3 linked regions of the Drosophila melanogaster genome follow. The gene in region 2 interacts genetically with the main gene of each other region. Each region holds a gene or a part of one and is shown on either strand. Other genes may lie near its edges. The genes, in order: DCP1, Ge-1 and btz.

The links.
Region 1: of Ge-1 (region 2) and DCP1, changing one enhances a phenotype caused by changing the other (phenotypic enhancement), as found in Drosophila melanogaster (one study listed by BioGRID).
Region 3: of Ge-1 (region 2) and btz, changing one enhances a phenotype caused by changing the other (phenotypic enhancement), as found in Drosophila melanogaster (one study listed by BioGRID).

The regions. Positions count from the first base shown.
Region 1 is NT_033778.4:23,886,253-23,894,902, forward strand, and holds DCP1 (decapping protein 1), read right to left. Parts: upstream 4,025-8,650; 5' UTR 3,941-4,024; coding exon 2,822-3,940; 3' UTR 2,512-2,821; downstream 1-2,511. Other genes in the region: CG5597 (uncharacterized protein), read left to right, coding at 826-874, 1,622-1,812, 1,873-2,150, 2,229-2,493; DNAlig1 (DNA ligase 1), read left to right, coding at 4,344-4,360, 4,418-4,480, 4,536-4,826, 4,887-5,519, 5,575-6,200, 6,254-6,867; Upf3, read right to left, coding at 6,924-7,166, 7,223-8,365, 8,423-8,515.
Region 2 is NT_033779.5:11,093,210-11,105,516, reverse strand, and holds Ge-1 (Ge-1), read left to right. Parts: upstream 1-4,628; 5' UTR 4,629-4,957; coding exon 4,958-5,223; intron 5,224-5,291; coding exon 5,292-5,500; intron 5,501-5,762; coding exon 5,763-6,163; intron 6,164-6,221; coding exon 6,222-6,475; intron 6,476-6,532; coding exon 6,533-8,109; intron 8,110-8,217; coding exon 8,218-8,455; intron 8,456-8,511; coding exon 8,512-8,752; intron 8,753-8,815; coding exon 8,816-8,981; intron 8,982-9,041; coding exon 9,042-9,564; intron 9,565-9,639; coding exon 9,640-9,829; 3' UTR 9,830-10,367; downstream 10,368-12,307. Other genes in the region: Reps (RALBP1 associated Eps domain containing), read left to right, coding at 1-312, 381-1,165, 1,237-1,673, 2,108-2,194, 2,348-2,890; Wdr59 (WD repeat domain 59), read right to left, coding at 10,680-10,754, 10,882-12,307. UniProt on the Drosophila melanogaster protein: In the process of mRNA degradation, seems to play a role in mRNA decapping. Required for silencing a subset of endogenous miRNA targets.
Region 3 is NT_033777.3:27,698,787-27,708,699, reverse strand, and holds btz (barentsz), read right to left. Parts: upstream 8,276-9,913; 5' UTR 8,116-8,275; coding exon 5,767-8,115; coding exon of another isoform or gene 5,632-5,766; 3' UTR 5,255-5,631; downstream 1-5,254. Other genes in the region: CG12877 (uncharacterized protein), read right to left, coding at 1-1,323, 1,382-1,490; CROT (carnitine O-octanoyltransferase), read left to right, coding at 2,859-3,236, 3,313-4,110, 4,180-4,310, 4,371-4,787, 4,844-4,976; ALiX (ALG-2 interacting protein X), read left to right, coding at 8,721-8,932, 9,147-9,265, 9,333-9,614.

The sequences.
Region 1 (8,650 bases), on a different chromosome or scaffold from region 2:
GTTGGAACGACTAACTAAGTCTTTACAAAAACTCAAGCATATGGATATACTTAAACCTATGAGTAACTGAACGGCTAATACCCTAAGATTTATTCAATTGTAAACAAATTCGAGAAATTCGACTTAAAAATGCCTTCTATCGGAATTTCAACAGAATTACAGGAATGTTAATGATCCCTATTGCCATGGAGACAGCATATTATTAACGCCAATCGTTACAACAGCCCTTAACTTCGGTCGAGAAGAAGAAAAGGTCCTTAAGGACTACGCTCGACACCCCCTGTCCTTTAACGGTCTTGCATGTTACCCTCGACTATCCCTAGTTGTAGGAGTGCGCCTCAGCTGGGCGGCCAACTGGTTTTCAAATAGTCAACGGCAGCTAGGAGCAGCGGAGAGTATCGAAGCGGAAAGGTTGTGTCCAACCCCCACACATGCAGGGCGACTTGGTTGGTGGTGGTGCCTGGCCAGCTGCGGAGCGATCTCCCCACATGTCCATGCAAAGATCGTGCTTGTGCTCCGAGAGTCGCGCACAAGTCAAGTGGCACGGGCTATGCGAGGAGGAGGAGGGTTAGGGTAGGAGGATCGTGTGCCGGAGAGGAAGTGCCGGCATTATCTCGGCTAAATTCGAATTCGTTTGGTTACGCTGCGTGGTCTTGGCCAAGAGCTCTCGTTCCTCATTTCTCGGTTTTCAGTTTTCGGTTCTCTGGCGGCCAAGAGCATTTAGTTGCCTTAGTTGTACCATGCCGAGCGGACCGCTGAGTTAGGATCGGTTGAGAAGTCTGGCATACGAGTGGAAGTGGAAGTGTAGATAGGATAGTGACCGTTATGGATACCCTGCTGATCGCCATTCTGGCCATCGGACTGCTCCACAGAGGTACAGCCAGATCCTGTGGCGATCCAGCCAGCAACCGATATGGGAAACGCGATTTTTAAATTAAGAAATGAAATCATTCGGAAGGCGCATATAAACGAATTTCGAATGCGCAAACCTTGAGAAAAATAATGACAAATCGGATATCTATAAATACGAACGTATATCCACATTCGGTTCTGAGTTAACATGTGCTAAAACGGAATATAAACAATATATAAACAATATATAAACAATATGTGCAGATTCGATTATCCTTTAATTTGTGGATTTGAACGGGCTGAAGGATTTTACGTGCAATTATTCGTGTTCGAAACTATATGTTTTTCAATGTGGAAAAAGCGCCAGTGGTTTTGAAGTCGGAGCAATAGATGCTAAGTGGAAAGCAAAAGATTCCAGCGAAAGGAACCTAATAAAATTGAACAGAGTTTTCAGAATTTTGGCACACATGATGACAAACTGCCGAATGAAAAATGTTCAATTTTCTAGCTTTTGTTTGTTATTAGTGTCTATTTTTAAAACGAAACAGGCATCCGCTCATCGCGTTTTCGCTTCTCGTAAATATACGCTTTCGCCAAATTATATAGATTTTTGTGTACAATGTGTTTTGGATTTGCCTGTGCTGCATATGTACATATATTCCAAATAATACCGCGCGTGTTCTGTAATTTCGAGACCTCGTCGTGCTAAAAGCTTTTCGTTTCGTTTCTGAATTCTGCGTTCTAATCAGTAATATTCGCTCTCCCCCAGATGCGCTATGCTATCCCACGAGGGATGAGTCCGAGGACAAGATTATAGTCCTTCAGAACGAGGAGATGGAGCCCACGATCCTGGACTGCGACTACGAGGTGGAGGAGAGCCCGAAGTTCATCACCGTCAAATGGTACAGAGACGACAAGTCCATATACCAGTGGATCTTCGGAACACCTCCATATGCCATCGTGAGTGAACCAAACGGTGTGGTGCGCTTAAGATACTAACCGCTTTCCCCTCCTTGATAGCCCGAGTTCAGGAACGAGATTGACAGCACCTATGAGAGCTCCACGGAGCCGAGCAAGCAGTACAGCTCGCTGGCTTTGATCAACCCCACGATCGCCACCACCGGCGACTACAAGTGCGTGGTGCAGACCTCGCTGAACACCTTCTCCAGCCACCAGAGGGTTCAGGTCATAGACCTGAGGAACTACACCCTGGAGCTGTCCCACAAGACGATCCACAATGAGACGCAGCTGAACTGCACCGTGACGAACGTGTATCCCAGGCCCACCATCACGATAATGTAAGGACGAGCGCCTGCCTTGTCGTAAGACAGCCTTGTAGTAAACAACGTCCCAACTCAACTCCGCTCCTATTACAGATCCAACGACATGGACGTGGTGAAGCGGGAGCCCATGGTGTACGAGAACGAGGAGGGATACTTCGATGGCAGCGCCGTGGTGGCGGCCTACGACACCGACGACGATCCCGATGCCTACCAGTGCGTGGTGTCCTTCGAGGGATACGGCAAGAACCTGACCACGGTGGCCACGTCCGCGGCGGCGGGCAGGAGCCACGTCGACTTCAGCCTGTGGCTGTTTTGTTTTCTGTACTACCTGCTCTGCAAGCTGAAGGTATTGGCCTAAATAAAAGCGTTGTTATTTATTGTTACTAAATTAATGTTTATTGAATTCTGTTTGCCATTCAACTACCTTTTCTACGCCCCTTCGGCCTAGTTAACCATTTTGTAAATAAATACGAATACTTCACAAAACCAACTACGTTAGTTAACTCTTAAGGTTGCTCTGGAAATGGATGCCGTCCTTCTCCGGCGGGGCTTCTAGATTTTAAATCTACGACTGCCCTTGTCGGCTTACAGCTATTACATTTTGTAAATTAACTCGGCTTGAACTCGAACTCCATGCGAACAAATGAAAATATGGGCTGCAATTCGGAAATGTTGAATATTTCTGTTTATTGATATGTGGAGCTGGAGTCCAGCAGTAGATTGGAACAGCCGTTCAGGTAGGCCTTGTGCAGCTTGTTGGCAAACTCCTTATCGTTCTGGATAAGGTACGTGAAGGCCTGGACGAACTGCGTCGAGTTCAGCAGTGGCTGCTGTGGCTGCTGTGGCTGCTGTGGCTCCGGATTGCCGTTGTTGGGCGCGTCGAACATGGTGGGCGGCATGAGGGCCGGCCCGGGCTTGTCGCCAGCCAGCAGTCTCCGCAAGCACTTGCCGGCATCGTCGTTGGCCATCAGCGCCGACGAGGACGGGGCGACTGTCGGAGATTGAGCCGTAGCGTAGCTTTTACCGATCTTCAGGTCGCTCAGGAGCTGAATGTTAAGCTGCTGCATCTTCTGGAAGGGCGACAGCCGGCTCTCGTGATTGTCCCTGCCTGCCGGGGGCAACAGATCCTCGCCAGGCGTGGCTGCCCGCTGCTGTTTCTCCAGCTGGTCCACGGAGAGCGGCTGGACGCGGTGGAACAGTGACTCTGCCGTGGCCTGCTTGGCCGATTCGAAGAACTTCAACACATTGCCGGCCGTTACGTTCTCCGCCGAAGGCGTCTTCGGCTGCCCGCCGCTCACCTGGGCATTGTAGTCCTTCTGGGCCTTGGTCAGCATGTTGAATATGCTGGCCGGCTGGCTGCTGTCCTGCTTTGGCTGCTGGGGCGCGGAGACGTGACGCTGGGCCTGGCCATTCGTTCCCTGATCCTTGGACTTGAGCAGCCCGTTCACCAAGCCGCTGATGCGGTCGCACTCCTCGCTGTTGTAGAACCAGAAGCCGCGGATGCGCGAGCGCTCGTTGCGGTAGAGCAGGAACGGCGGCTGCGACTGCAGCTCCAGGCTGCCGGTGATGGGCTCCACGAAGGACGTGGTGTTCAGTCGGTTGTTGATGAAGATGCTGTGAAAGGGCTCCGCGTTGCGGTGGTATATGAAGAAGGCTCCCTCCACATCGGTCTTTTCCCACTCGTTCTGCGACGAGTTGAACGTGTAGAAGGCGACGTGCGAGGACGAATCCACGATCTCCTTGGCGTACGGGTCGATCTTCTTGATGGCCGCCAGGTTCATTCGCGTGATGCTCTCGTCGGCCATTGTAAATTGTATGTAATCTTCAGTTTTGGCTGTGCTATTGCGAATTGCAATTATTTGTGAATTTAACGGCGCTCTGGTCACACTGCCCCGTGGATGTTTTCCCGTGTTTATCAACGACTGTGCTGCGGTCACACCGAATGACAATAAACTCTTCCTTTTGTCTATTAATGATTTGTTTGAGAAATATTAAGTCGATTGACTTGCATATAAAAATGGCCACAATTGTACGTAATAATATTTCTCAATTATGTAGCATAAACATTTAATTTATGTTTACTAATAAAATTTTCAACTTCGATAGCATTTCCATTTCAATATATCGATACTGAAGACCAGCTCTAGAAACTGGCGGGAACTAATTGCATTGCAATTTGTATTTATTTGAACACAGAATTGCCACAAAATGCAAAAGTCTATAACGTAATTTACGATTTAACAAATGCTAAGTATTGCCAATCTAACAATCCCCCGTTTCAGCTCCTTCTTCAAGAAGAAATCCGATGCCACCGACAGCCCCTCGCCGCCCAAGAAAGTTCCTAAGTAAATGGTGCCGCTGTTTTCTTGTTTCATTACTAAATTCCTCGACAAATCATAGGATTGATGCGAAGACCGAACTCCCAGATGAACCCCACATCAAGAGCGAAAGTGCCTCCCCGGAAACTAAGCCCAAGGTAGAACCTATGTCTGTGGATTCCGAGGAGAAGACAAGTCCGGTGAAAAATGTTAAGAAGGAACCAAAGGAAGTCGATGACAAGACCACTGACAAGAAGGTCACAACCATAGGTCTCAACTCCACTGCCGCTACTAAGGAGGATGTGGAAAACTACGATCCATCCGCCGACTCCTATCATCCGCTCAAGAATGCCTACTGGAAGGACAAAAAGGTGTAAGTAGTGCAGGATTTTGAGCCTCCAAGGCGAATTATATCAAAGGAAACACTTTCCAGCACTCCCTACTTGGCACTGGCCCGCACATTTCAAGTAATCGAGGAGACCAAAGGCCGGCTCAAGATGATCGACACGCTGAGCAACTTCTTCTGCTCTGTGATGCTGGTCAGTCCGGAGGATCTTGTGCCCAGCGTCTACCTCAGCATCAACCAACTGGCGCCCGCCTACGAGGGACTGGAGCTGGGCGTTGCCGAGACCACCTTGATGAAGGCCATTTGCAAGGCAACGGGGCGTAATTTGGCTCACATTAAATCGCAGACGCAGCTAACCGGGGATCTGGGCATCGTGGCCGAGCAGTCGCGCGTTTCACAGCGCATGATGTTCCAGCCAGCGCCTCTGAATGTGAGGGATGTGTTCCGGAAGCTACGCGAAATAGCCAAGCTATCCGGTCAGTCGAAAATGGACCTGGTGTACAATATGTTTGTGGCCTGTCGATCGTCGGAGGCTCGCTTCTTTATCCGTTCATTGATTGGCAAGCTAAGAATTGGCATTGCAGAGCAGAGTTTGCTCACAGCGCTGGCCATTGGTTTGGTGAAAAAGAACCACATCGATGATTGCAAGGCTAGCAAGGTGCCGGATGTGTATAAGGATGAAATAGTCGACACCACTTTGCTGTTGAAAACTGCATACTGGTAAGAACTAACTTAAGAACCAGCTAATAATTCAGATGCTAACGAACTTTTGCAGTCAGTGTCCCAACTACGATATCATTATACCGGCCATTCTAAAGTACGATATTAAGGAGCTGCAGGAACGCTGCCCCATGCATCCCGGCATGCCGCTGAGGCCCATGCTCGCCCAGCCCACCAAGGGGGTCCATGAGGTATTTGAGAGATTCGGCGGCATGCAAATCACCTGCGAGTGGAAATACGATGGAGAGCGGGCCCAAATCCACCGCAACGAGAAGGGGGAGATCAGCATATTCTCGCGCAACTCCGAGAACAACACGGCAAAATATCCGGATTTGATTGCCAGGAGCACTGCCTTGCTCAAGGGCGACGTAAAGTCCTACATCATAGACAGCGAAATTGTGGCCTGGGATGTGGAGCGCAAGCAGATTCTGCCGTTTCAGGTGCTCAGCACGCGCAAACGGAAGAACGTTGATATCGAGGAAATCAAGGTCCAAGTCTGTGTCTACATCTTCGATCTGCTGTACATCAATGGCACTGCTCTGGTGACCAAAAACCTGTCGGAGCGTCGCAAGCTCCTGTTGGAGCACTTTCAAGAGGTCGAGGGCGAGTGGAAGTTCGCCACTGCTCTGGACACCAATGACATAGACGAAGTGCAGCAGTTCCTGGAGGAGTCTATCAAAGGTTTGCCCTGCCAACCAACCTAAAAGTTGTTTACTTAAGCTTTATTTCACTAGGAAATTGCGAGGGCCTCATGGTCAAAACATTGGATGAGGAGGCCACCTATGAGATTGCCAAGAGATCCCGCAACTGGCTGAAATTGAAGAAGGACTACCTATCCAATGTGGGCGACTCACTCGATTTGGTGGTCATTGGTGGCTACAAAGGCAAGGGCCGGCGAACTGGAACCTACGGAGGATTTTTGCTTGCCTGCTATGACACCGAAAACGAGGAGTATCAGAGCATATGCAAGATTGGAACTGGCTTCACTGATGAGGACCTGCAAACGCATTCCGAGTTTTTGGGCAAACATGTGACCAGCGCCGCCAAATCCTACTACAGATACGACCCCAGCCTGGAGCCCGATCACTGGTTTGAACCGGTCCAGGTGTGGGAAGTCAAATGCGCGGATCTGTCGCTCAGTCCGATCCACCGAGCAGCCATTGGCATTGTGGACGGAGAGCGGGGCATTTCCTTGAGATTCCCTCGGTTCATTCGGATACGCGACGACAAGAATAGCGAAAACGCAACGGACGCCAATCAGGTGGCCCACATGTACCAGTCGCAGGATCAGGTTAAAAATAATCAAAAGTCGAGCACACAAATGGAGATGGAGGACGAGTTCTACTGACCGGTCTGCTCCAGCCATGTGTACACGATTTATTTAACAATAAAAGTCTGTTATCGCTATTTGACGCTGGTGCTGCTCTCGGAGGATTTGGAGAAGCGACGAGTTTCGAGCTCACACTCCTTCACCTCCTTCGGTTTGGGTTTGTTGCGCCGATTGGGGCGTTTGTTCCTCTTCGAAGTCTTCTCCTCCACCACGGAAGCCTCTCCATCCGAGCCATCTTTGCCGCCTGCACCTTGGGGCAGCTCATCTGATGCACGAATTCGGGCTTTGGGCTGGTAAATGGCAATCGATGGTCGATCCTGTAAACATCAAGCGGGTTAGTAAAATGTCGAGGGGGGTAATAGGTGAGACCCACTTTATTCCGAATGCGCCGCTCCTCTGAAGCTCGAAATTGAGCAGCCTTGATGGCTTCCTCTGCAGTTTCGTGGGCGGAACCTGCTGGCTGCTTGTCTGCGCCGGTTCTTTTTTCCTTGCGACCACCTCTGGCAGCCGGTGTAAAAACCTTGACAGCAGCTTCTGGTGTCTCGGTGTTTTCAGTCGCAGGCTTTTCTTTCGAGGCCTCCGCAGCGTTAGAAGTGGATGGCACGTCCAAACTCTCGTTTGATTCTGGCTTGTTTGCTTTCTTCAAGATAACGATGTCCATGGACTTTGAATTTTTGTTCTGCTTGCCGCTGGATGGCTTGCCTTTGTCCTGTTTGTCCTGTTTGTCCTGCTTGCCCTGGCCGTCATCCTTTTTCTTGTCCCGCTTGACTAGCTTACGCTGTTCGTGTTCCTCGCGTCGCCTCTGATCCCGCTCCGTTCGTCGTTTGGAGCGCGAGGCCTTGGCATCATTGGCTTGGGATCCAGATGACTGCGGATCTTTGACATCCTTTTTGGCTGGCTTCTTCGTGTCTCCTCCTCCGCCGCCTCCTTCGGCCTCCTTAAGCTTGCTGGCGTCCGACTGCGCTGCCAATCGCAACAGCTTCTGCTCCTCGCGTTGCTTCCGCTTCTCCTCGTTCCGCCTGCGCGCCTCCTCCCGGCGCTTCTCCTTCTTGTTGGCCAGGTACTGCAGGAGGGGTGTAGACTTGACCTTCTCTTCTGTTCGCCGTTCGAAGTTGAAGTCGATCTTGACGTCGCCCATGCGACTCGCCTCCTCGCGCTCTTGGGCCAGCCGCTTGATGAACTCCTGGTAGTGGGGTTCGCTCTCGATGGTGTTCACCTTGCTGTCGTCGTTCCTGGCCTTGTTCTTAAGGAAGCACTGGAAGGGAGCATACTCCACGATGGCCATGTACTCGACGCCCTTGTGGTCGACGAAGACGTAGCCGTCGAAGCGATCCCGGAACTGCACCACCTCGCCTATGTCCTTGGAGGACATATCGATGTAGGCGCGACAGGTGGCCTCCTGGCCCAGCGACCAGTCTGCCTTGCAGTAGTAATACGAGTCGTTCTCCGGCAAAGGACCCACCTGATCCAGGAACTGCGCCTCCGTCATGGTCGGCGGCAAATGCCGCATCACAATCTGCAATGAATGCATTAGTTTCGGAGGATCGTGGGATTAAGACAGTCTGGACGGTACCTTAACGATCTGATTGGTCTTGTCCTTCTTGTCCTTGCGCCTGCTTGCCTTGGACTTCTCCTTGGGCTTTTCCTCGGCAAAAGTTTCAGCCATTTTCTGTTCCTTTTTATTTACAAAAATCAAAACAAAGCCGAAAAGCCAACAAATGCAAACATGATGTGGAACCGATAGAGATGGCACTTTCGGCTCGAACTAGAAGAAATTCTAAAGTTCACAAGTGGAACCTAT
Region 2 (12,307 bases):
AGGAGGCGGTACTGGTGGTGGATCGCCAGAAGCCTGGAGCACTAACAGTGACAGCCCCACGCCCACCAACAGCGTGGCTGAGCGGCCTTGGGCGCAGGACACCCTCTGGCAGGGTTTGCTGGGCGACGAGCATCGCCAGCTGCTAGGCACGGAGGAAGAGTCTTCCGATCGCCACAGCAGCGACGACGATGACAACGAGAGCGAATTGGTGACCATTTACCAGATAACCCCGGAACAGCGCGAGTACTATAATAAGCAGTTCAGGACGGTGCAAAGGGATCCGCATGGTCTGCTTTCGGGCCAAGCAGCAAGGTAAGTTGGCTTTAGGAACGTTTATAACTTTATTCTTCTTATTATTTTCTTATTCCTTTTTTTATTAGAAACTTTTTTGAAAAGAGCCGCATTCCTGTGGAGGAGCTACGTCACATTTGGCAGTTGTGTGACGTTACCCGCGATGGAGCGCTAAGTCTGTCTGAGTTTACGGCCGCCATGCATTTGGTGGTTCTACGGCGCAACAACATTCCCTTGCCCACAAGTCTGCCCCACTGTTTGCATCCCAACGTGCTACAAGCAGCTGCGTCCGGCAGTGGACAGGGGGTGACATCCTCGTCATCGGCGGCGCTGCCTCAGGAGCCACCTGAGGCTGATCTCCTGCACCTAAATGATGACGATGAGGACGACCATACGGATAATACAATCATAGCAGGCAATCTCAGCGGCAGCAGTACGACCAGCAAACCGCGTCCCAATGTGCCCAGCGACAAGAACATCATGAATCTGAGCAGCATATCCACGTCCTCGCAGGCTAGCAACAGTTCCAAACGTGAGGCAACACCACAGAATTCTTTGGGCAAGAACCGAAGCATCTCAAACTCGCCGAATGTGGAAAAACCTGTGTCGGGAACTGTTTCCTCTACGGCAAGCGCTGTAGACTCGACCAACGTCTCCAGTCAGTGGACAAAGTTTAGCGAATCTCCAACAACAAGTGCGGTTTCGGTACAGTCAACCACTGGGGCAGCACCTGTTGTAGCAGCCGGAGCAGCCGCTTCTGGCGCATCTAGTCCCGGGCTCAAGCCAGTCCTGTTTGATATGAAGCGCTCGGCCCAAGACGTGGTATCCAATCCGCAGATTCTGCACCCAGTGCCGCTAAGAGTGACGCCCATTGGTGAGTAGAAGAACTAAAATAGTATTCTATAAATTGAATATAAATATAATTATTCCTTATCTCATCTGTAGGCACCGCCATCGCTTCCTCAGCTGAGTCATCTAACGAAAACGAGAGCGCGGTGGCTCAGCGCGAGGATAGTCCCAAGGCCATCTCTTCGACTACTGTCAATAATCAGTCATCTGCTGTTGTACCCGGAATATCGGGAGTCGCTGGCTCCTCCCACCGCGATAGCAGCGATCTGCGTGCCATCCAACGGCCTCAAGCCAAAAAGCTGCCGGCCAAGAACAGTGCATTGCCACCGCCACCGCAACGCGAGCCCAGTATCGGATCCACTGGGCCAAGTGAGTCGCAGGAACCGCAGGCTGCCTACGTGGCATCGTCTTTGGCGTCGAAGAAGGAGCCACCGCCTCTGCCACCGCCAAGGCCACATCGTCATGCACGGAGCAGCAGTCTGGACTTAAACAAGTTTAAAATAGGCGCAACGGGCGGTGCCCAACAGGCGGAGGTATGTTATGTCCTATGGACCAACAATTTCCAATTTTATCTGAGAATTTCAATCTGTGTCGTTTTATATGCCTTGGTCATTAAATAAAGCCTTGTAGGGGATAGTATTTCGTAGATCCGCACTTATCCCCTGCAATGCTATAACAAACTAAGGAACTTCCAAAACATTCCGTGTGTTCCGTCTCTGTTTTCAATATTTGTGGTGTACTGTGCAAATGAAGGCGAATACAGTTTTGCTACAGATTCAATTTATTGAAATGAAAATACAGTGTCTTTTAAGAGTCCACAATTGTTAAGCATTTGCAAAGGAAACCGTAAACTTCGGGAAACCGAATTTGCTTATATTGTTTTTGTGTTTTTTGTTTGCTTGATTTTGCCTAACTACCTACCTATAACCTGTGAAATGTATATAAATATGGAACCCCTTTTGTTAAGATCACCGCGCAGGCCAGCTTCGATATGCAAACCTCAACGGGGTTTGCCGATTTCACGCACTTTGCCGACGAAGGCGCCGCGAACGTCGTAAGTCCAATCCTAAATGTATGCAACTCGTAAAGCATTCCACTACAATTGGCCGTAGCTCCACTAGTGTCATGTGTCCAAATTCAGTAGCTTATATAAATAAACGCATCCATTTGTATGATTGTCTTACTAATTGGTACTCTGACCTTATAGGTGGACGAGCAGCAGCTACACTCCTTGCCGCCGGCAGCACCACCGCCACAGGCAGCAGTGGTGCCGCCCACAAGAATCACTCTTCAGCAGGCACAGCAGCGCGTTTCTGCCTTCGAGGTTTACCGAAAGCCGCAAACGCCACGTGGATCGCAATCGCCGCCCCAGCAGCCGCCACCGCCGGCTCCAGCTGTTGGTTTGACCACCCAAACTGGTCAGCTGCCCAGTGCTGAGAGCTTTGAGAAGCGAGTAACCGCCATCAGTGACTCGCTACGTCACGTGTCCTTCAAACAGGGTCAGGCCAATACCACGGAAGTACTGCAACGGCTGCGGGAGCAGAACAACTCACTGCTCCACCTTTGCAACGATTTAAGTGACGAACTTCTGAGCGTCCAGACGCGCAAGGAGGAGATGCGTCTCAAGCTGGAGGGACTTAATGCCAGTGATAGTACAGGGCGAACGAGCTCCTCGATTTGCGCACCGGTGACAGCAAACGTGACCGGTGGATCCTCTGGTTCGGCAGGAGCTGCTTATACCAACGTTTAAGCAGCGAAAATGATCATGTGAATGAGGGTGAATCGATTTATTTTTGGGCGATATGTGACTTTCGTTTGCCTGTGTGTGTATTTTTGCGACCATTTTAAGTGTCTCGAACCAAAATTTAACATTCCTTATAATTTGTTATACTTTCTTTAAGCTATTAGTATATTTCCCTCTTTTCTGCACATTAAACTGCATTAGATACATATTGGGCGTAAGATTTCAGAAAAACTACGAATTAGTTTCCCTTAAATTTGAATACTAATTGAAATTACCAAAAACGGAGAAAAAATTGATAACGACCAAGTTTAATATGAAATCCTCGGATTTAAGGCAAATAGCTGAAATGAATTCATGCTATTAGTATTAATTCATTTGTTCATGCACTGAAAGAAATCGATTCACCTTTATGTTAAACACTTATTTTGTTGTTTCTGTATGTTGCAAGCACAATTTACGATTCGAGGTGCTTACACAACGATAAGACTGGGCAAATCTTTGAGTAGGCTCGTAAAATTTCGTTGTGAAAATATTTACACAGTCTGCAGATAAATATTCGCCAGATCTGAAAGTTCCAACAGCTTCTATGTAACTACCATTTGTTTACTCAAGAGCTTGCTCAGTCTTAAGCGGGTAGAAACACCAGCGATGGATCTGATAGCTCGTCCGTTTATGCATTGAAGTTGCTAATTTAATTTGTAGGCTAGTTAAATCTCAAGAACACAAAACAAATCATGCGAGAACAACAACAATAATGCCGCCTCTATAGATATTTATGCAGATCGATTTATATATGTATGTATATGTATATTTAGAGATATATGTATATGCGCTTCTCCTAATTGTTACGAGTAAATGACACACAATTCTTTCGCTTGACAGCCACTCCGCACTCCGTATCTCACCCTCACCCTAGTGATTAATGAAACTGCCACAAAGTGGTCCAATCCCAGGTGTAATATTTCCTGCTGCGAAGACATTTTACTTCTCCATTTGCTATTTATTACTGTTTTGTGTATGCCTCGAAAATGTCCCTTCTATTCATTCCGGCAATGAAAATTAAAAACCACAAAAAAAACATTAACTCAAAAATAAGAACTACAAAAAACGAACCTAAAAAGAAGCCAGGCTTAATGTTTAAGTATTAGAAAAGTGAAAGGTAAAAAATCGATAAAGAAATTCATTTCCTTGAAAGCTTAGCTTAGGTTTTTCAAAAAATATATACATCTTAATATATTTTCTATCTGTATAGTGTACACGATAAAACACAATAACACTTGATATTATCTACAATTACCAAAATTTCTTTCTACCGAAACAGGAGACAAATTTGATTTACTCGGACCACTGATTCTGTACGTATATGCTAACTTTGAATTTATCAGACATACCGGCATATATCACATCTTTTGCATATTTAAACCATTAGATATATGAGTTTTTCTTCAACTTGTTAAACATTTTCAATGACCTACCACCACACACAATCACACAAGAGAAACGAAACAAAATGTAATATGAAAAGAAAAAGTGATATTGAAACACTATGTAAACATATTATTACGTCGCTGCGTAATCAATGTGTATTGTTTTGATGGATATACATCTCTATGAATAAAGATAAATGTATTAAGTTGATGTTAAAATGCAATAAAACGAAAGTGCAACCGAAACGTGTTTTCTTGATTTCGAAAGAACGTTTCGCTGAGCGTCCATCCCTGGCATCCGCGTCGCCGATAACAGACGCTGTCCATCGATTGCCCTAGCACACGCCGCTACACACCTCTATGGTTTTGCGGCAAAAAAAAAAAAGTTTTTTGCGAAAATTTGTGAGTTTACGAGAAGCAGCCAACTAAATGGTTTAGTTTCGCTAAGTAGACGATCAATTGCTGGAGGCCAGTTTTACCAAGTACCGGCTGGGTGCATTTAGCAGGAGTAAAGGAGACCATTCGACTGCTGCGTATTGATAGGGCAGGTTGGTGTGCGAGTCGTTGCTGTTCATCAACTGGCGAAATTAATAATGTGTACCCCCATGCCGTATCATCCTCCCACCTGCAGTCAGCCGATGTGTCAATGTTAATCGCGCTCTTCGCGCTTGCACACTTGCCAATCTTTCGTAAGACGCCTTTGTCAGCCTCCTCCTCCCCGCCGCCGTCTGTCCACCGGTCGCCAAGGTGTGGCAAAGCAAGTACCGCGTACCATCCACCGCCAGCAGACGCCTGCATCAGCATTACTGCTTCAGCCATTGACGCAGCATCCGGGATGAGCAACAGCGCCGAACAGGACAAGCCGATTGCCGCCAACGGCAATGCGGCAGAGCCCCAGGAAATAGAAGTCATGTGCGTATCACCGGTTATCCAATAGACGGCCCTTGCTTAATTAATTCTTTTTTTTTTGTGCCTAACAGCCATTTCCAAGCGCAAGAGAAGCAGTGTTGCCGCGTTATTAGATCCAATAAGACCAAGGTCCTCACATCCGGCGGCGTTCACACACGCGGTTCCTCCAAGGTCAAGCTAAAGAACATCGTCGACTACAAGTGGGAGCGCAAGTACTACTATCCGGGTCACCTGGTCGCTGTCCACCGCGATGGCAAGCACCTGGCGTACGCCATTAATGGTAAGTAATTTATATCCCATTGCAGTTTCTTGACCAATTAGATTTTATTTATGTGTGACAACTTTTTCTCGCAATTCTTGAGTTTTATAAAAAAGGAATGATTCTTGAATTTATCGATGGGAATCATGTCCCAATCAATATTTTACAGAGCTTCCGGGGAATGATGGTTTAATTATTATGTATACTTATGAACCCATTTACCTTGTGTTAATTTTAAAATTAATTTAAAAGCTATTGTATAATAACTTCATTGTGCTCCCAGTCAACAACAAAGCCACCGGAATGGAGGGCATGGTGCGCGTATGCAACATAGCCACCAGTATGCGAGCCTTGATCAAGGGAATGAGCGGCGAGGTCTTAGATCTGCAGTTTGCCCATACGGATTGTGAGCGTATATTAGCTGTGATCGATGTCAGTTCGCTGTTTGTCTACAAAGTCGATCAAATCGAAGGGAACCTGCTGTGCAATCTAGTGCTAAAGGTGGAGGACCCCATCGCCAACTATGTGCCGGAGTACGATATGGTCTCCTGGTGTCCCTATGTCTGCAGCAGCAGCGCCACCGTTCCAATCAACGACGATGACGATGAGAATCAGCTGCTCATTTGGTCGCGAAGCTCTCAATTTCAATGCTTTCAAGTGAAGATGATTGTCTCTGAACATGGGGTTCGTTTGTGCTAATGTTCAGCGCCAAACATATCATTAATGGCATTTACCTTAACAGCGCGGCAAGATCCAACCAGCAGCCCTAGAATCTGGATATCTGAAGATTGAGGAGGACTCGTTGATCACGTGCGCCGCTTTGTCCCCGGATGGCACCACTGTGGCTGCTGCTTGCGCCGATGGCTTGGTTCGTTTCTACCAAATTTATTTGTTCGATGTGCGCAACCATCGCTGCCTGCACGAGTGGAAGCCACATGATGGCAAAAAAGTCTGCTCTCTCTTTTTTCTCGACAATATCAACAAGCCTGTGGAAGAGTAAGTAGTTATTATATAATAATTAAATATAATTATTATATTAAACTTTCCCATTAGATCCTACTGGCAGCACGTGATCACTACGAGCGATGCCAATACCGAAATCAAGCTCTGGAACTGCTCGCTATGGAAATGCCTCCAAACTATCAATGTGGTGGCCAGTCCGTCATCTTTGCAGCCCAGAAACTTTATCGCGGGCATAGATCGCAGTGCGAACTACTTGGTGTTGTCTTGCCTGGACTCTCTGGCCGTGTATGTAATGCAGATTGGCAGTACTGGCGGCGCAGACTCCGAGAATAGGAGTAGCGATAGCGAAGGAGAAGGCTGCGACACTTCCAAACGCATTCAGAATGTTGCCGAATTCAAGCTGAGTTCGGGGATTCTCTCTTTTTCTATTGTAAACGCTAGTATGCGTCGCGTTAAGAACTCCATCGAGAGCTACTATCCTATTGAGGAGCCCGATGACTTCGATGACGATTCCAATTCCACCAGTGCCCTTGTGCTGCACATGTTTGTGGTGCAGGCAAAGAGCCTGCAGGAATGTCAAATAATCTACCAGCCATGTGTGGCTGAAAAGACGGAGCGGAGCAGCCTAAACAGCAAGCGATCACAGACGCCAGAAGACAATCTGCTAATCAAAGAGGAGCCGGAATCCCCCAACAGTGGAACTGTGGGTGCTGTTCAGCTGGATGCATTATTCGCAAAATCCGCAAAGAGAGCTTCAACGGGCAGTTCATCTGCCATGGTGGCCGTGGCGGCAGCCGCGGCTGCGGCACCTTCGGCCATCCTGCAGGACGCCACTAAGGAGGCGGCCAAGTCAGAGTCCCCGCAACTAAGCAGCGCGTATACGCAGCAGGTTAATCTCATGACTCCAGATGCCTTCAGTGCAAGCGGAACCGCAGCGGCAGCAGCTGTATTTGTGTCTACCAGCACCACAACTTCAATAGGAACTGATAGCTCTACCACCACCAGCGGTCAGGATAGATCCATTGATTCAGCGGTTCTGCAAACTATACGAATGCTGGCCACGGTAACGTCCAAGACTTCCGAAAACCCCAATGCCGAGGTACTCCTCAACCTAATGAACAACACCCTAATCGAAGATCGCGAGCAACAAAAGCTGAAGGAAAAGCTTGACGCTCGCAAGAAGTTCATTGCAATTGATCGCAATCCAGAGCGGAATGTGGCTGAGAACTTGGCCAGCGGCAGTTCGAGTCCGAGTCGAGAGGTGCAGGAGATAATGGCCACACAGGACGATGCCGATGCCTACGAAGCAGAGCTAGAGAATCTGGACGACGATGATGACGATGAGGAAGAAGAGCTGGCAAATTCATCACCGCTCCCGGAAGCTGTTGACGGAACATGGCCCATTGTCAAGCTGTCATCCCACTCAGCTGAGCTCCAGAATGCTGCCCAGATCATGTCCCAGGCGGTGCAGAACACCAACAATGGCAATGTGCCGCCTACGCTAGGTGGAGGGCACAATAATAACACAAGTGTAGGCAGCAATAGCAACAACAACACGGCTACAACTCTTAGCACCAGCAACACCAGCAGCAGCAACAACGCGGGCGGAACATGCGTTGATTCAAGTGGAACTGGAGAGCTAAATGCCAAAATGGAACTACTCATAGGTAAGTGGTTGTGATCTTCAATCAGAAATTTTAAATATTTTATATTAAAAGAGGCATGATGGCGTAACGTACTTCAAATACTAACAATTTCACATAAATTATTTGCAGATCTAGTAAAAGCCCAGTCCAAACAAATAAACAAATTGGAGAACGAAGTCAACAAGCTACAAAAGCAGCAAGAAGCGGCGGCGGCCCTGCATAGCAAACAAGACACTTCATTGGAGCCTAAAAATCTTAGTCAGCTAGCATATAAAATTGAGATGCAACTGTCCAAGCTAATGGAGCAGTATCTCAAGCGATATGAAAACGAGCATAAGAAGAAACTGACGGAATTCTTGGCGGCGCGGTAAGATACATATAACAAATTTTCCGGGGCACAATCCAAGTGAATACTTTTTGCAGTGAGAGCCAAAACCGAGAGCTACGTGACTCCGTGCTGCAGGTACTAAATCAGTATGTCATGAACCACTTTACGGACATTATTGGCAACGTTCTCAACATGGAACTGCAGCGCCAACTGCTTCCTCGCGTGAATGCCAACATGGATCAGCTCCAAGCCCAAATGCAAGTGGAGATTGTGCAGAAGCTGAGTGTGTTTGACAAAACGGTGAAGGAGAATATTGCCCAGGTGTGCAAGAGCAAGGTACGTAATCTGCAAGTCCATCTATAAATGCTTATAATTAAGCGTTTTTTTTTCATTACTTAGCAATTTCTGGATACTTTTGGCAAGTCCGTGTTGATTGGTGTTCAAACCAGCCTACAAACCGCCTTCATTGAATCTATGAGCAGCACCTTGATTCCAGCTTATGAGAAGTCCTCGCAGAACATGTTTAAACAACTGCATGACGCTTTCAGCGTGGGCATAAAAGACTGTTAGTATATAATCATTACAATCATAATGGATACATAAAGCTCCTTCTTTTGAATTCCAGTTATGGTCCAGTTTAACACCTACCTGCAGCACATGCCACAGCCCCAAGCCGGGAGTGGCAATACGGAGGAGATAAACAACAAGTTGTCCATGCTTAAGCAATTGGTAGAGAGCAGCTTGCACAAGCACCGCACTGAACTCACGGACGCCATGCTCGAGACACAAAGAGAAGTGAAGAGCTTAGAGATTTTGCTGGCGCGTCAGGTACAGGAAACGATCAGAGCAGAGCTACGCAAGCACATGGAAGCCCAGAACGTGGCAATGCGTTCGCAGGCAGCTACGCCTGCACCACCTTACGACCTCAGGGACAGCATTAAGCAGCTTTTGATGGCTGGACAAATCAACAAGGCCTTCCATCAGGCTCTATTGGCCAACGACTTGGGCCTAGTGGAGTTCACTCTCCGACACACGGACAGCAACCAGGCATTCGCACCAGAGGGATGCAGACTGGAGCAAAAGGTTCTACTGTCGCTCATTCAGCAAATATCCGCTGACATGACCAATCACAATGAGCTTAAGCAGAGGTGAGCTAGGAGAACTAAACAAGTAACAAAACATTACAAAGAATTACATTGATGATGTACCTTTTTCATTTGTAGATATCTCAACGAGGCACTGTTGGCCATCAATATGGCAGATCCCATTACCCGCGAGCACGCTCCTAAAGTGCTCACCGAGCTGTATCGCAATTGTCAGCAGTTCATTAAGAACAGCCCCAAGAATTCGCAGTTCAGCAACGTCCGTCTGCTGATGAAGGCAATCATAACGTACCGCGATCAGCTAAAATGATATCAAGAGAACTATAACCTGGCCAGTGGCTGGTTTTGATAGATTACCCATCCGATCCCCATCCAAGATAGTTAATCTATGACCACAAACACATTTATAAATACACGCTTGTAGTTAAGTCCAAAAAGAAGTTAGTATGCTAAAAAGCTCTCAGCTAAGTTCATCCCTTAAAAAGTTGAAATTGAATCTATGCCTTTCATTTTATTGTTTATTTGTTTTGTGCGTGATTTGTTTATAGTAAGGCCGTATATCTAATGTTTATGTCGCTATATCAAAATTGTATTATCTTTATAATGATTCGCCTACTAAATTGCAATATATTTTTTTATTATTTTATTTTTGCGTTCCTTTTATTTTCCTTTTTATCTTTATGACGCTTAATGAACAAAAGAAAACACACAAAAACAAGAATAGGAGCTGTAGAAACTTATTTAAAAATTATTTTCAAAACTAAAGCAAACTTTATTATGACGGACAAAACAAAAAAATTATTAGATTGCAAATGCAAAAACTACAAGTAAATCGTAGAATTTAAGCTAAAAAAAAAAAAAAAAAACAGAAAGCAAAAGTCGATAATAAAAAAGAATAAATGTATGTACTTGAAAAAATCTAGAAACAGTTCTTTTTGAATTATCGTAACCATATGATTTTGGTTAAGTGTATAGTTGCATAAAGCTTTTACCCTTAGCTTGGCTAGTAAGTGGTCATATATTTCTCAATGGTATGCAAATCGTACAAAAATTGTTGGCCTAATGACTAAAAAACACCTAACTATTTTGATATCCACACAGACGAAAGAAAGTTAAGTAAGATTATTTTTGAAAGGAATGCACATCACTCAAGGTCTGAATCAGCTGAGTAGGGCTAGCAGCTCTGAGGTGCGCTCCAAGCACTTGCAGCCACACGTAGCACAGACATTGTGTTTCTGAAAGTTAAACAAGAAAATAGCAAACATGAATATATTTATATCCATAAATCCATAAATCCAAATCCATACATCGTTTGGTTCGTGAAAAAGAAACCAGTCGAATCAAACTCAAATAGATACCAACCTCAAACCACTGCATCATGTGATCAATGTGACCGCCATGGCCACAAGCCAGACACGCATTGGCTGCTCCTTTCACAGGCAAACGGCAGAGGACGCAGAAGAGTACGGGTCGCTTGCAGGGCTCGCATTTGGGCGTCCGTTTGGGCTTGGCACACTTCCTGCACTCGGTAACGAATTCCACACCCTGGACTGGAGGTGGTGTATTCTGCGTGTGCTTGAGGATCAAAGCCCGCTTCGAAAGCAACTGCCAGCCAAATAAAATTTCGGCATAGGCGCGCTTAAATTGATCAAACAGTGGCATCTTAGTCCGTCTAATCAATGAGCAAGCGTATGCATCAGACTGGATTTGCTTAATCTCCAAATCCAGGGAGTCGGACCAAGAGTTGCTGCGTAGTTGCTTAAGTTGCTGCCAAGTGTTCGATGAAGAAGATGACTTGACGTCAAGCGGCAGGACCGTGTGATACGGTGAAATTTGCGAGTTAAGCTGCGGCGGAAGTCGAACTGTCTTCTCCATAATGGCACCGCCACCCGTGGGGCACTTGTCAAACAAACAAGCCAGCAGCACAGCAGTCTGTATGTCACCGGAGATAGCATAATGCATTATTAGTGATTCCAGCAGAGATTTCTTGAAGGGATCTTTGTAGAACAGCAGATCGTTGAGTGTTTCATGTGGAATTTGGGGTGTGGCTATCAGTTCCGCCAATAGCCACACGGGCACCAAGTCCAAGCGCCCATGCTGGCGACAGATCTCACCATTTTTACGACACGTTTCTGCTATGTTGCACTTATCGAGGGAGAACTCCCGAGCCATTCTCCGACTAATGTGGAGTAAGCTACTTGTGTCGTATACGTGAACCACCGGACTTCCATTCATCTGTCGGATGGCTCGCTGCTTGCCCGGTTTTCCCGAAATCATCCTCTCCTGGAGGTAAAAGGAGGCGTTAGCTTCCCTCTGGGCGGTGGCCATCACATTGCCTAGCAATCCACTACCATTAATCGATGAAAAAGTCCGTGGAGTCAATGCGGTGTGTTGCCGCAGGGTCAGCCTTTTGTTGTTCACTGGTTGGGCGAAAGTGGTCAGCATACCAATGGCATTGAAATGGACCCCTGACGTCCGCGGATATGGAATGCAGGCATCGTGCAGGGTGCTCGACAAAGCTCCTTCCAGCCGAGGGGATTGCAGGAGCAGTTGGCTACGATCCGCTCCGCCTACAGCGGCCACCTTTTTCTTCATAGCCGCCACTAGAGCACGTAGGCATTGTTCCAGGCACGTGCGGGATTTCTTGACCCGTTGCAATGCATTGCAACGGAGCACTTTTAGCAGAACTCCACTAACTTCACTGGACAGAGTGGTTCCCTGGCAAAGCTGAAAGTCCGGCGGAGCACTAGGACTTGGATACGATGTCGTGAAAGTCACTTGTAAAATA
Region 3 (9,913 bases), on a different chromosome or scaffold from region 2:
GCTCCTGTGCCTGACGTACCTGCTCCGCTGAGGCTTCGGCTTGTAGCTTCTCCTGGCGCCGCAGCTCCGCGCGGCGGTTGAAGATCGCCTGCATGGCATTACGGACGTGATTGGGTTTGCGCATCGCCGCCGAAGGAGCCAAATGAGGCGTGATCTTGTCAGCATTCTCGTGGGCCACCCGGCGCTTCTGCAGAGCCGCCGTGGCTGCCTCGGTGAAGGTATCAATGTCCGGAGAAGGAGCTTTGCGCTTGCGAGAACTCTCCGGGTTGGCATTGCCGCCTTCGTCCTTGTGCATCTGCGCAAATTTTTTTTCCATCTCGTCAAAAATCATTTCACACTGGCGTACAATTTCTCCTTCCGAGGTGTCTGCTTCAAAATCAAAGTCCATGTCATCCAGATCATCCATAGGTTCTGCTGGTGTCAGTACAGCTGCTTCAGTATCCTTATCCGCCTCCGGTTCGCTCTTTGAAGTGCCAGCGCTTTTGCTGGAAGACGAGCTCCTCTTAGTTTTGGACCGTGAACTCGAGGAACTAGATTTGTGATGATGGCTCTTCGAGGAGGATGATGAAGAACTGCTCTTGTGCCTGCTACTGGAACTTTTGTCGTCGCGGTGCTTATCGCTGCTGGATGACTTTTTGCTGGAAGAGGAGCTAGATGAAGACTTGTGCTTAGAGGAACTTGAGCTTGAAGTATTTCGCTCCTTGGAGCGCTCCTTGTCGCTGTGGGAGGACTTTCGCTTATCCCTATCATTTTTTTCCTTCTCTCTGTCCCTTTCCTTGCTCTTCTCTTTGTCTTTTTCCCGGTCCCGGTCCCGGTCCCGATCCCTGTCTTTGATCTTTTCCCTTTTCAGCTCTCTGATCTTCTTCTTTTCTATATCCCTTTCCCGCTCCTTGCTGGGCTTTCGATCCTTTTCGTGGCTATCCCTAGCATCCGTCAGTTGCGTATTCTCCTGGTCCTCCTCGTTTTCAGCTACCGTATCTATCTTCTGTTCTTCGTCGTTATTCTGGACTTGCTCCTCAATCTCCACCTGCATCTGCTCATCAATTTCCTTTTCGAGTACCGCCTGCCAATCGTCATATTCTTCGCCATTTGTAACAGATGGCTGGCCGGGCACATATTTGGGAGCACTGTCCACGGACGCCTCCTGCTTCTTCTTAGCCGGCGATGCGTCAAGAGCCGGCTTCTCCGGGTGGTACTCCAGATTGGACTTCTTCCGGGGCGCACATAGCGTGATCTGGGGCAGTGGAAGGGAGAGCAACTTGGGTGCCGGCTTGTACTTGGGCACGGGGGAAGGTTCTGCAGGTGGAGCGGCCTCCAATTCGTCTGTAAACCGAGAGTGGATAGAATTTGTTGCGAAATTAACTGGACGTAATTCACTCACCTTTGCGAGCATGCTTAAAGTGGCAAAAGGGGCGCTTGCAGGACGCCGCATCCTGGCCGTCAAAGTAAGGGCACAAGAAGCCCTTAAAGAGACCCGTGGATGGCAGCATTTCCACCTCTTGCTGGGATTAGAAATTTAATAAAGCCGCTTGAGAAAACAAGCGTCCCAAATTTCTTTCTATTCTTTCTGCCTGTCTCTTTCACTCATTTCGACAGATGTCAGCTGTTTCAGCTGCTGGCGGCGTTGCCAGATAGGCGTCAGCATGGATGCTATGAATGGATGCTAAGGAATTAAATTAAATAAATTTAAATAAGTTTTAAATATTTACAAAACATTGAATGACCTATTTAATTAATAATTGTAAACAATATTCGCATTTTGTTAACGGTTACAATGTACGTTTATGGCAGTTGATTGCATCAATCCGGGAGGATTATATCTTGCGGTACGATGTACAATGCTATGCGATGTTAATAAGAATAAGATGTACGTAATAAGAATGTGGTGACTAACGGTATAAACAAATGGTGTAAAAAGTCTGGCAACTCCTGCAAACAGCTGTTTGCTGTGCCAATTTCCTATAGGGTCTTCGCCGCTTGTAAACAAAAACGCAGCAGTATAATAATAAAAATAATTGTTTAACCTATAAAATTGTTTGCTTATCTAGCCTAATGAACTTGATAGCTGCGGAACCGTTTTAATTTCGATCGAGTGCATCGCAAACTGAAGTTCGGGCGCGACATTCAACTGCCGCCTCATCGAAGGTTTGTGTGGGTGTGTCTGCTGGAATATGTTATTAAAAAAGAAATTCATATAGAAATTCAAATGAAACCGGCCATTATCGGTGGCCGACTGTCTGCAATAGCAATGATTAGGGTGATATATTATCGCACTGAGTCAGTGGACGCGGGTGGCGGATCCCACGGTGCGATAATTCAAGTGCTCCCCCTCCGGCAAGGTTTGCTGTGATATGGAACCAACCTATGGATTCAGTCGTATAACGGCAGTCTGGCGCTTCAGTTGTCTCCGGCAAAAGTGAATTCCCCATCGAGTACAAAGGTCAGTGGGCTAGAAATTCGCCTATGATTTCACCAGTGCGCCGGGAGTATAAATATTTATAAAGCTCCCCAATCCGGACTTTGTCCAGCTTGAGGAGATTAGTGAAGATAGTCGTCTAGCTGCAGTCCAAGAAAGATTACGTTCAACTTGACGCATAATCCGCTTAGTTGCACATTAAGTGTTCTTAGTTGTGTGGTATTAATTTGCACACCATTTTAATGTTTAACCTATAAGATGAGATCAATTTATTTCCGATGTGAATGTACTCAGTAATGTATTGGGTGAACTTTGGACCTGACGAACGTAAAAGCGATTCCCGATATGATTATTGTACTAATCTGACTTAGGCCTATAGAAAACCACCACACGCGCAGACTGATATCAACGATTCCAACGTGTCCCCCGCAGCTAAACCACCATGGACCGGGCTAGTCTATATTTTATGAGCAAGGATGATAAGAACACCTTCGACTTCGACGAGACCTTACCTTCGCTCCCGCTGCCGGAGCTTAGGGACACCATGGAGCGCTACTACAGCTGCATCCAGCCATTCGGGACCAAGGAGGAGTTGGCCCAGGCCCGCAAGACTATTGATGAGTTCCAAAACGGAGTGGGAGCCCAGCTGCACGAACAGCTCAAGAAGCGGGCGGCCGGCATGAGGAACTGGCTGGGCACCTGGTGGGAGGACTACGGATATCACCTGATTCGGATGCCGCTGCTGCCCTACCAGCTCATGGTCATGCCCTCGCAATTGGAAATGGTGGGCGTGCCGGAGACACCGGAGTACATGCTGAAGGTGAGTGGACCCACACCCCAAGCTCTATAAGAACACAAAGTTTAAGATTGCCTAATTGACTGTATAATTTTCGAAGAGTCTGGCGCGCCACATTCACCACTCGCTGGAGTTTTGGGATCTGACTAGAAAGTCCAGCATCAAACCGCTCTCCTCGAACGGCGGTAAAATAAAGTACTCCTCCGCGCTGTACAAGCACTTCTTCTCCACGTGCCGTGTGCCAGGCGAGGAGCAGGATCATATAGAGAAGCATTTTCTCACCAAGGATGAGGGCAAAACGCCGAGTCACATGCTTATTTCCGGCAAGGGACGTCAGTTCATCTTCGATTGTGTGCACGAGGACGACACTATCCTATCGGCTCCCGAAATCCTCGTGGCCCTGCAAAGAGTGCGCAGCATCCTCGACTACGAGCCGTTGGGCGATTGTGTGCCCACCCTGAGCCATGACGAACGCTCCACGTGGGCACGCAACCGCAACCGTTTGAGGGAAATCTCAGTTGCAAACAAGGAGACGCTGCTTCTGGTGGAGAGCGCATGTATGGAGATCTGCTGGTACGAGCAATCGCCCAAGGACTACGAGGAGTCCTGCCAGCTGGGTCTCTACGGTGATCTCCATTCCCGCTGGGCAGACCGCAGCAGCAGCATCATCGCCTTCCGCAACGGACGCTGCAACTGGACGGGTGAGCACAGCTGCTACGATGGCACGGTCAGCATAAGTTACGCCACATTCATGCAACTGAGCTTCCTGGAGGTGCCAGAGCCAGACTGGGCAGAGGCCGAAAAAGGCAATGTTTTGGAGGTCAAGGAGCTGCACTTCCAGCTGGATGATACGCTCAAGAACGAGATCAAGCGCGTGCAGAAGGATATTGATGACAGGGTAGGCAAAACGCCTTTTTCCGAAACCTGTTATTGAACTAGTTAATCCTTTTGTATGTGGTATCCTTAGGGTATTGACGTTACTGTGACCTTCACTGCGTTCGATGACTACGGCAAGGACTTTATGAAAACCCATCGACTGCATCCAGACTCCTTTGTTCAGGTGGTCATGCAGTGGGCCTACTACCAAATGCATAAAGAGTGAGTTCACCTCTGGACTAAAAAAAACAGCACTAACAACACTCCATGGATATCCAACAGAATTGCTCCCACATATGAGACTGCTCTGATGCGACAGTACTACAATGGACGAACAGAGACCCTGCGATCATGCACTTCCGCTGTGGCTGAATTCCTGAGGGCGTCATCCAACAAGCAGGTTGGCGATATGTCACTGGCCAGGGCGTTCCGTAGGGCAGTCGATGAGCACAAGCACTTCATGAACGAGGCGCGCAAGGGACACGGCATCGATAGGCACTTGTTTGGCCTGTGGTGCGCGGCGTATGAAAGCAAAATGGACATTCCCGCCTTCTACGACGATCCGATGTACACCAAGAGCGGCGGAGGAGGTAACTTTGTGCTCTCGTCCAGCACGCTGGGCTTCACGGCCAACGTTGGTTTCGTGGCGCCCATGGTCTTCGATGGCTATGGCGTCTTTTACTCCATCACCTCGGAAGCGTAAGCTAGACACTCCTCCATTATCTTGAATTGTTCTTTAATTTCGTACATTCTAGTGTGTTCATTAATACCACCGCCTATCGGGATAGCCTAAAGACAAGCGCTCGCAAGTTCAACGACATTTTCAAGGACTCATTCCGCCGCATCAGCGTTCTCCTGGAACAATTGGCCAAGGAATCCAAGCTATGAAAAGCTCATCTAGTATTAAGAAAAGATCTAATCTTACTTTATGTCGTCATTGAAATTCAGTTCTCATTTTTAGTTCCAATCAGAAAGTAGATTTTTGGTTTTTCTTTCCATTTTGTTTCAATTAGCACAATTACCTAGATTTTAACGAACAGTCGAATTTAAATATTTTTTATTTGAAATTGGATCCCTAGTTCAACCCACCTTTCACCGGAAACTAAGTGAAAACGCAGACTTCGTTGGTAGTTTGTAGTTTGACAGAAAGGGTGTGCAGCATTTGTAACTTCGTGTTAAACGTTTATTTAAATTCAATGATCGATTAGTTTTTGCAAATACATTTCTCTCGGTAATTCTTGTGTTTCAATTCTAAAATGCGGCTAAATAAGCTAAGCGCCCAGCCGCTTCAATACGTTAGCCGGCCCTAGATACTACGTACAAATTAATTGGAGCTTGCGCCGGATTACAATATATATATATATAATCGTCTATATACGAAAACTTTTCGTTAGTAATTTCGATTATCTGGGAGCTAAATGCTAATTACAAGTGGTTCTCACTGCGTTTCTTTATTTATGCAGTACTTTTTGAGTCGCAGACCCAAGGACAGAATGGGGGAAAAAAAATCGTATGAGTTGAGTTAGGAGCTGGGCTGTCCGCACTAGTGCGGCGGGGGCGGAGGTCGATAGTAGCCAGCGTGCGGCTGCAGCATTGAGTAGCCGGAGGAGGGCGGCGGCGCTATCCGTTGGCCTCGTCTCTGCTGCTGCTGTGGCGGCAAGCCGGCGTACGCCTGCACTCATTCCTGCCCAGTGGCCGGAACTGGCTGAAGGTTCTGCTCGGCAGCCGGTGGAGTGGCTGCCGCCTCTTCCTTTGTTCCCCCACCTGGAGTTGCGCCTTCGCCGGTAGCCTGGAAGGCCGAAGGTCGCTGCACGAACATGTTGTCAATGATGTGATCTATGTTGTCCGAGATGCCCTCCTCCTTCGCTCCACCCTTGACCTTATGCTTTTCGGAGGGCGGGAGAATGGGAATCGCGTTGGTGGGACGACGCTGGGGCAGAGCACTTGGTCGGCTAGTGGTTTGAGCCGGCGGTACAAAGTAGGTTGTGCCACCGACCGTGTTGTAGTTCTGATACGGCTGAGCCGGCTGCGTTGCGGGCGGCGCCTGAGCGGGCGGCGGTGTGGGTTGTGTTACAACCGGAGGCCCTGCTTGGGCGTACGCCACGGCAGCCGGAGTGGTTGGCAAGTAAGCGGCACTAGCCGGATTAACATACGGTGCCTGGGGAACGGGCACTGGAACTGGCTCCGTTCCGGTCACATAGTACGGTGCCGCCTGTGCTTGCGGATATGCGGCTGCCGGCGGGGCATGTGGCTTTGGTGGTGTTGGAACTGCTCCTGCGGCAGTAGGTGGTCCAAGTTGCATGGTCTGCAGTTGGGCCTGCAGCTCCTGTTGCTGATAGGCGATCTGCATCAGAACATGGGGGTCCTGAATCATGATCTGCGATTGTTGCTGCTGCTGTTGCTGTTGAAGATGCAACTGCTGCTGCATCTGCTGTTGCTGCTGCTCAGCCAAGTGCTGTGATGCCTCCTGCTGTGAGCGACGCAAGCTGGAGTAGCGCTTGGGCGCATTTCGTTGTTCCTGATGCAGTGGCTGCTGCTGCTGCTGCTGAGGCGCCTGATTTTGGCTAGCCAGAGAATGCATCTGGACACTGCCCACATGGCTGGGATCATTGCGTTGCTGCACCTGCTGGAGCCGCTGCGAAAGGTTCGACGTGGAAAGCGGCGTCTGTGGAGACTGCTGCGGCTGGGACGGCTGTCGTTGCTGCTGTGGCTGTTGCTGATGATGAGGTTGCTGCTGCGGCTGTTGTTGTTGGTTGGAGCGTGGAGTGGATGGCTTCTGGTTACGGTTGTCCAGTTGGTCTGGCCCCCGCTCCCGCTCTCTTAGCTGCTGTCCACGGTTGTTCTTCTTAAATTCCATGCCATTCTGACGTCCGGGGCCGCCGTTCATCCGCCCGAAGTTGCGATTCTTGGGCTCTCGATCGCGTTCCCGCTCCCTTTCCCTCTCACGTTCACGCTCCTGGGATCTGTGTGGATTGGAGCTACTGGCCAAGGGCTGTTGCTTCTCTGGAACCAAGCCTTCAGCAGCGACGGACCGTCGGTTTTCCTTTTCCTCACGCGAGGATGATGTTCGTGGACCACGTGGCTTTCTTTCGTTGAGCGCCGGGAAGTCCTGTGGCCGCGGCGGCTTGCGCTCCTTATTGCTGGCTTTGAGGTAGGCCTGCTCGTCCTCCCAGTTTCTTGAGTATTTACTAGGCCCACGCGTATATCGCCGGCGACGTCTGGCTCTGGGTGGTGCGTCCTCGTTTCTAATGTCGTAGCCGTATGTTTGCAGCAACTCTGCACGGGATTTGGGAGCCTGCTCCGTGGCCTCGAATCGATCGTGAGACCAGCGATCACCGCCTGAAGCTGGTTGCCATTTTCGCATGGTCTTCGATGCCTGTGAGATCTGTGGCGTTTGGCCAGTCGGCGTGGCACCGGCGGCCGCAAGTCCATTGAGTTCGCCATTTGGCTCCGCCGCCGCCTGGCCAGCACCGTTTTCGGGTTCGATCAGGATTTCTCCCTCGGTCTCCGCCGTCCGATCGTCGTGCTCGTAGAAAGTGCCCCGCTTTGGGATGTACTGCGGATTGCTGCGATCCTCGTCCACCTTCTTCTGGGCCTCACTGTCTGCGACGGAGCGGTCCATCGCCTGCTCCCCTTCGCCATCGTCCGTTTCGCTGCCCACCTCATCGTCCTCGTCGTCCGTCTCAGATTCCTCCTCGCTCCCACTGCCACTGGCGCTGCCGCTGGCACTCTCCTCGTCGTCATAGTCCTCTCCGCCCTCCAGATCACTGGCCGTGTCGTACTCGGAGTCGTGCGGATGCGAATTGGAGTTGGGCTCCTGGGTGGGCGAGGTGCCCGGCTCGACGTCCACGGTGGTATCCGCTGTGGGCGTTACAGCCACTGGCGCCTCGCTGGCAGGTGCAGCCGTGGCCTGGGGGATGTCGGTCGGGGGCGTGGCCGCCGTTGGTTTCTCCACTTCGGCCATCGCGGGGTCTCTTCGGTTTTCTGCCTCGCTACTGCTGCTGCTGCTTCTTCTGCGGAATGACATAGAACGGGATTCTAGGTGTCACTGGGATATCCAAGCCAGGGCTCCGTATATCAACTCACGTGCGAATTCTTGACAAGGCCTAACTACTCTAGTAAGCGTGCTTCTTGTTACGGTAAATTCTAAGAAAAAACCAATAATTTCGCACAATTTTCTCGACAACAACGCAATCAGAAAATAGAAAGTCTAGGGTTACCTTTCTCTCGCCGCAGAGATGCCACACTGTTGAAAACGTAACGACAGGGCGAGAAACGTAGCAATGTGCATACGTATTGAAATAGTGGCAGCTCTGGTAGTTACCGGTTCATGTTAGTAATAAAAAACATATAGAACATAGAACATAGAAAAAATATTCTATTACTTTTTTTTAATAGTTTACAATATTAAGTATCTTTGACAAAAATTCACCTTTGAAGTATAGAACTAAATCCTTAGTATTTCTTTAGTGGCTATCGAAAACGGTATCGACGGCTGGACATCGCTGGCCAGCTGTTGTAGGGGAAGGAAAGAGAGCGTAAAGCGGAGTTCGAATAGAGCGACAGACGATTAATTAATATCACTTGGAATCAGAAGTCGGACAAGAAGCAGACTCCGCAGAACAGGAAAAGATGTCGAAGTTTCTGGGCGTGCCGCTGAAGAAGCCGTCGGAGGTGGATGTGATCAAGCCGCTGAACAATCTCATCCAGAGCACCTACAACGGTGCGTCGGAGGAGGAGAAGGGCAAGTACGGAGAGGCCGTCAACGAATTTTCGAAACAACGCAATACGGCAATTTGGAAATTCTTTGAAAAGTACGAGGCTTCGCTGGAGATTGTGTACGCGTAAGTACCACCATGTCTTTGTGGCCTTCTTCCGGGAATCTCCCGATGAGTCACCCGCACAACGGGGCAGCTAATCACACCCATTCCATTCGATTCGATTCCACCTGGTGCTTCTGTATTGGTGTGGTGGTCAGACGTAAACAAGCTCTCGGATGACGTAGTCGTTAACTAAATGTTTTGCCTCCGGGTTTTGTTGCCTGCTCTGTATTTCCAGCTATTATGACCAGATTTGTGCGCTGGAGACCAAGATATCGGTTAGCGAACTTCAGATACCCTTTAAGTGGAAGGATGCCTTCGACAAGGGCTCCATTTTCGGCGGCAAGATCAGCCTGAGTGAGTGATTCATTGCCATGTGCCAAGTATATTTCACCACTAACCCAACGGCATCCACCATCCACAGCTCACACCTCCTTGCTTTACGAGAAGGTCTGTGTGCTCTTCAACATTGCCGCCCTGCAGAGCAACATCGCTGCCAACCAGTCCCTGGATTCGGATGACGGCCTTAAGCTGACCATCAAACTGCTCCAGCAGAGCGCCGGCATCTTTCAGTATTTGAAGGGAGCGACGCCAGCGGCAGTGCCCTCGGAACCCACGCCCGATCTCAGCCAGGATACGCTAACCGTGCTGCAGGCTCTGATGGTCGCCCAAGCGCAGGAGGTTTTCATTCTGAAGGCAATTAAGGGTATGTAAAATTAATTCACAAAGAGCACGAACACCGTTCACATTTAAATGCTTATCTATGAGCAAAATTTAGTTGTTTACATTGGGCGATAAACTATTTTATCAGGTAAAAGCGTCTTTGGCATACAATAAAAGCACTCAATGCAATATTTTTCGGACAAAGCTTATCCGAAGATATTACTTTTGATACGTGGGGACATTACCCAGTTATTTCCTTTGAAATTATATGATAAGAACGATTGAAATGAATCATTCCATTCAACAAAAATAATGTACCAATCAATGGCTCTAGAGTAATGG